2 linked regions of the Macaca mulatta genome follow. Each later gene encodes a partner of the first gene's protein in a complex. Links are inferred from orthologs where the notes say so. Each region holds a gene or a part of one and is shown in the gene's direction. Other genes may lie near its edges.

Evidence for each region.
Region 2: GTF2F1 (region 1) and POLR2D share a complex: the UniProt entries of both Homo sapiens proteins name them as parts of the TBP-based Pol II pre-initiation complex. The link is inferred for Macaca mulatta from reciprocal best matches to the Homo sapiens genes GTF2F1 and POLR2D.

Annotation. Positions count from the first base shown.
Region 1 is NC_133424.1:7,259,735-7,262,314, reverse strand, and holds part of GTF2F1 (general transcription factor IIF subunit 1), read left to right. Parts: intron 1-879; coding exon 880-1,064; intron 1,065-2,493; coding exon 2,494-2,580. UniProt on the Homo sapiens protein: TFIIF is a general transcription initiation factor that binds to RNA polymerase II and helps to recruit it to the initiation complex in collaboration with TFIIB. It promotes transcription elongation.
Region 2 is NC_133417.1:9,426,025-9,429,524, forward strand, and holds part of POLR2D (DNA-directed RNA polymerase II subunit RPB4), read left to right. Parts: intron 1-180; coding exon 181-276; intron 277-2,450; coding exon 2,451-2,529; 3' UTR 2,530-3,500. UniProt on the Homo sapiens protein: Core component of RNA polymerase II (Pol II), a DNA-dependent RNA polymerase which synthesizes mRNA precursors and many functional non-coding RNAs using the four ribonucleoside triphosphates as substrates.

The DNA of each region.
Region 1 (2,580 bases):
TACAGGCACCCACCACCACGCCCGGCTTATTTTTGTAGTTTTCGTAGGGGCGAGGTTTCACCATGTTGTTCAGGCTGGTCTCAAACTCCTGACCTCAGGTGATCCACCTGCCTCGGCCTCCCAAATTTCTGCGATTATAGGCGTGAGCCACTGCACCAAGCCCGGCCTGCAGTCCTGTTTTTTGAAGCTTCCATGAGCAATGAGACAACGTTACATTGTTCCAGTGGAAACAGTAGGTTTTGTCATTAAAGAAAAAGACATCTATAAATTAAGATAACAAGAGATCTGGCCAGGTGCAGTGGCTCATGCCTATAATCCCAGCACTTTGGGAGGCCGAGGCAGGTGGATCACCTGAGGTCAGGAGTTTGAGACCAGCCTGAACAACATGGTGAAACCTCGTCCTTATGAAAACTACAAAAATTAGCTGGGCGTGGTGGTGTGTGCCTGTAGTCCCGGCTACTCAGGAGGCTGAGGCAGGAGAATGGTGTGAACCTGGGAGGCGGAGGTTGCAGTGAGCCAAGATTGCACCATTGCACACCAGCCTGGGCGACAGAGCGAGAGTCTGTCTCAAAAAAAAAAAAAAAAAATAGCAAGAAACCAGTGTGACTGGATTGGGGCCAGACTCTGAGTCCAAGGGAGGTGCTGAGACTCCAGCAGCACGTGGGGACCCTGTCTTTGAGGGACTCGGGGCGGAAAGGGAAGGTAGGAAGGGCCGGTTCTATCCGTGTGGTTTCAGGGAGTCCTGGGCCACAGCCCAAGTCCCCGGGGTCCACATCACATTGAAGGCTGTGTGGGTGGTGCCCTAGGGCTCGCCCCCTGCAAGCGCAGGGGCAGGGTGGTGCCAGGCCCAGCATGAGCCACCCTGTGCCTGGCCCCCAGGAGGAACAAGGTGCTGAACCACTTCAGCATCATGCAGCAGCGGCGGCTCAAGGATCAGGACCAGGATGAGGACGAGGAGGAGAAGGAGAAACGCGGCCGCAGGAAGGCAAGCGAGCTACGCATCCACGACCTGGAGGATGACCTGGAGATGTCGTCTGATGCCAGTGACGCCAGCGGTGAGGAGGGTGAGCACGGGGGCCCGGGCATTAGGCTACAGAGGTACCTGCCCAGGCGGTGCCAGTGAAGGCACAGTCTACCGTCGCTCACAGTGGCCCTAGAATTCGAGGCACCTGGGGCCAGGTGCGGTGGCTCACGCCTGTCGTCCAGCACTTTGAGAGGCTGAGGCAGGCAGATCACCTGAGATCAGGAGTTCGAGACCAGCCTGGCCAACACAGTGAGACCCTGTCTCTACTGAAAACACAAAAATCAGCTGGGCATGGTGGTGCATGCCTCTAGTTCCAGCTACTCGGGAGGCTGATGCAGGAGAATCGCTTGAACCTGGGAGATGGAGGTTGTAGTGAGCCGAGATCGCGCCACTGCACTCCAGGCTGGGCGACAGAGAGGGACTCCGTCTCAGAAAAAAAAGAATGAGAGTCAGGCGAGGCTGCCTGGAGGAGCAGTGATGTCAGTCAAGAGGCAAAGCCAGAGCCCGGGAGAACTGAGCTGTGGCCCTTCTTTCTTTTTTTTTCTTGAGACAGGATCTCTCTCTCTCACCAGGGCTGGAGTGCAGTGGTACAATCACAGCTCACTGCAGCCTTGACCTCCCAGGGTCCAGCAATCCTCCCACCTCAGCCTCCTGAGTAGCTACAGGACTACAGGCATGCACCACCATGCCCGGCTAAGTTTTGTTTTTTTCTTTTGGAGACAGAGTCTTGCCCTGTTGCCCAGGCTGGAATTCAGTGGTGCGATCTCAGCTCACTGCAACCTCTGCCTCCCAGGTTCAAGTGATTCTCCTGCCTCAGCCTCCCAAGTAGCTGGGATTACAGGCATGCGCCACCACGCCTGGCTAATTTTTGTGTTTTTAGCAGAGACGGGGTTTCACCATGTTGGCCAGGCTGGTCTTAAACTCCCGAGCTCAGGTAATCTGCCTGTCTTGGCCTCCCAAAGTGCTGCGATTACAGGTGTGAGCCACAGCACCTGGCCTAATTTTTGTATTTTTTGTAGAGACTGGGGTCTCACTCACTATGTTGCCTAGGATGGTCTGAAAACTCCTGGGCTCAAGCCATCCTCCCGCCTCTGCCTGCCAAAGTGCTGGGATGACAGGCATGAGCCACCGCGCCTGGCCTGGCTGAGGTCTTTACGGGGGTTCCTATGAGAAACTGCAACTCTGGGTTGGCCAGTTTCAATAATTCCTGTGCGCTCTGGGCTGTAGGGGCTGTCCCTGGTTATCAGGTGCCTCGCCTGGGGTGGTCTGGGAGTGGGGAGTGGTCTGTGAGCGTTAGAGAACGTGGGTTGGGGTGTGGGGTCTGGACCAGGAGTTTGTTTAGGAGAGCTGAGCTCCTGGGCTGGCCTTGGTGGGGCAGTCTCCCCAGTCAGTGAGGCCCCCAGGATGTCAAAACTGCACAAAATACCCACTGCCTCCCCCTCCTTTTCCTTCCTTTCCTCCCTTCCCAGGCGGCAGAGCCCCCAAGGCCAAGAAGAAGGTGCCGCTGGCCAAGGGTGGCAGGAAGAAGAAGAAGAAGAAGGGCTCTGACGACGAGG
Region 2 (3,500 bases), on another chromosome or scaffold:
CACCTTGGCCTCTCAGAGTGCTAGAATTAGAGATGCGAGCCATGACACCTGGCCGTCTAGCTATATTTAAATACTGGCTACATTTGATCCCTTTTTTCCTGTTGATTATTCTTTTGATTTTTGTTGTTTCTTTGTTTTTGATTTTTTTGTTTTGATTTTTTTTTTTTTCCTTTTGATTAGCTTGCTACTCCAGAAAAAGCTTCACAAGTTTGAGTTGGCCTGTTTGGCCAACCTTTGCCCAGAGACTGCTGAGGAGTCCAAGGCTCTAATCCCAAGGTTAGTACCAGTTGTGATAAGTTCTCTGTATACTGGATAAATTCCTACAAATAGAATTGGTGTGTCTAAAATGTGTATGCATTATATATTTGGATACATGATTGCCAATATTAAATGAAAGTGCCTTTTTTGTTCAATATTTCAAAGCACGTTTCCTGCTTATTAACAGTGTGTGAGAATGATGGTTTTATACCACACCAAGTGAGAGCAAAAATCTGAAACAGCTGGAACTTCCGTACGCTGATGGTAGGGGTGTGAGTGTTAATTACAACAGTCATTTTGGAGAGCAATTTGGCTGTGTCTGGTAAAGATGAATATACTCCATGTTCCAAATATCCATTCCTGATACATATCTCAAAGGTAACTCACACAAGTTTACAAGGAGACGTATATTCTAGTGTTCATTGCTGCACTGTTTTGTTTCTGCTTTTGTTTTTAGTAGACATGGGGTTTCACCATGTTGGCCAGGCTGGTCTCAAACTTCCGGCCTCAAGTGATCTGCCCACTTTGACCTCCCAAGGTGCTGGGATTACAGGCATGAGCCTCAGTGCCCGGCCTCATGCTGCACTGCTAATGATAGCAGAAATTTGATCATCTCTTAGTCAATAAGAAAGTGGATAAATGAATCGTTGTATAGTCACACAATGTTTATTGTACGGCAGTGAAAACAGTCAGTGAACTAGAACCACGTGGAATATCAACATGTCAGAATGAATTCTGAGGAAAAATGGCAGAAGGATAAACACAGTGTGGTGCCATTTCTTATAAAGTCTGAAACTGTGCTGCATATTACTTACGTATCCATAAATGTGTAGTAAGTATAAAATATGTATGGCAAAACAAATTTTTAAAAAAAGGTATGGCAATGATAAATACTAAATTGAGGATGGTGGTTATTTCTGGGGAAGGAGGGAAGGTATTGGTCTAGGAAAGTAACACAGCCATCCACTTTCCTGCTTATTAAAGAACTCTGGGCCGGGTGCAGTGGCTCATGCCTGTAATCCCAGCACTTTGAGAGGCCAAGGCAGGTGGATCCCAAGGTTAGGAGGTCGAGACCATCCTGGCCAACATGATGTGACTCCATCTCTACTAAAATACAAAATTAGCTGGGCATGGCGGTATGTGCCTGTCGTCCCTGCTACTTGGGAGGCTGAGGTAGGGGAATCACTTGAACCCAGGAGGTGGAGGTTGCAGTGAGCCAAGATTGCGCCACTGCACTCTAGCTTGGCAACAGAGCGACACTCCATCTCAAAAAAAAAGAACTCTGGCCAGGTGTGGTGACTCACTCCTGTCATCCCAGCACTTTGGGAGGTTGATACCATTAGAAAACATGAAGACAGTAAGTGAAAAATGCAGGGCTGGGTGTGGTGGCTCATGCCTGTAATCCTAGCCGTTTGGGAGGCTGAGGCAGGAGGATCACCTGAAGTCAGGAGTTGAAGACCAGCCTGGCCAATGGTGAAACCCCGTCTCTACTAAAAATATAAAAATTAGCTGGGTGAGGACTGGGCGTGGTGGCTTACGCCTGTAATCCCACCACTTTGGGAGGCCTAGGCAGGTGGATCATGAGGTCAGGAGATCAAGACCATCCTGGCTAACACAGTGAAACCCCATCTCTACTAAAAATACAAAAAATTAGCTGGGCATGGTGTCGGGCGCCTGTAGTCCCAACTACTTGGGAGGCTGAGGCAGGAGAATGGTGGGAACCCAGAAGGCGGAGCTTGCAGTGAGCCAAGATTGCGCCACTGCACTCCAGCCTGGGTGACAGAGCAAGACTCCGTCTCAAAAAAAATTAGCTGGGTGTGGTGTCAGGCGCCTGTAATCCCAGGTACTTGGTAGGCTGAGGCAGGAGAATCACTTGAACCCGGGAGGCGGAGGTTTCAGTGAGCCAAGATCATGCCACTTCACTCTAGCCTAGGGGACAAGAGCGAAACTCCGTCTCAAAGGAAAAAAAACCTGTAAGTCAAGTGGGGCTAACTGTACAGGTATATTTTTTATACTTTTTATCTTTTATGCGTTTGAAATATTTTGTAATGTTTTATCAGGAAAAGTGGAAAAGAAATACAGATGAAAGGTGAAGGTGTTAGAGATGTGGGCAGTAGATTAGCACGCCTCAAAGAAGAGCGTGGGGAAATTGCCAGTTGCCAAATCACTCATTTCTTTTCGTTTTCTTGTAGCTTGGAGGGACGGTTTGAAGATGAGGAGCTGCAGCAGATTCTTGATGATATCCAGACAAAGCGCAGCTTTCAGTATTAATCTCCAAACATCGCTGCTGCTCAGAGAAACCGCGTCCGCAGGCGTAACACCACCTTCCCAGGCTCTGGCTGACTTGCATGGAAATGCTGTTGCAGAGGACAGTTGAGAATTCCTTTGGAGAAAACAGCCCGGCTCGGCGTGGGGTTAGGTTGCTGTTTCAAATAACTCATAGGCCCAGGACATGGAATCTTGGAGCAGCCTTGTGCAGTGGCTGCCAGTGGCTTCCTGAACATGCCTCTGGGAAGTGTGAGATGGGGCCACACTACTGACTACCTCATTCATGGTTTTTGGCCTCCACATCATCTTTTTTCTTAATATTTCATGTTTTAATTTCAGTGCGTTTATACTTTTTGAAACTAGACCAGAATATAGTAGACTTTATAGAGAAAGACCAGTTTCACCTAGATGCTAAAGGAAGAATTAAACAACTGTTATTGTTTGAAATCCTTTTCTTTTTCTTTTCTTTTCTTTTAAATGGAGATAGGGTCTTAACTCTTACCCAGGCTGGAGGAGTGTAGTCATACAGTCATGGCTCACTGAAGCCTGGACCCCCCTGCCTCAGCTTCCCAAATAACTGGGGCCAAAGGTGTGCACCACCACTCTCAGCTAGTTTCTAAAATTCTTTATAGAGATGGGGTTTTACTGTGCTGCCTAGACTGGTCTTAAACTCCTGGGCTCAAGTGATCTGCCTGCCGTGGCCTCCCAAACTGATGAGATTAGAGGCATGAGCCACCACATCTGGCCTGAAATTCTGAAGGGATGAGAGTGTCGACAGAGCATGTTGGCATCATTGTGGCTAACCTGGGAGGCGGAAGAAGCATGCCATGGGCAGTGTTGACGAGTATTGTGGAGCTCAGAGTCCCTTGAGGTAGATGGCTACTTTGCCTTTCTTCTTGAACTGTCTTGCAGAATGTGGATTTGGGGTGAGTGGTCTTGAAGGACTCATTTAGTCACCCTCAAATTAAGATTTT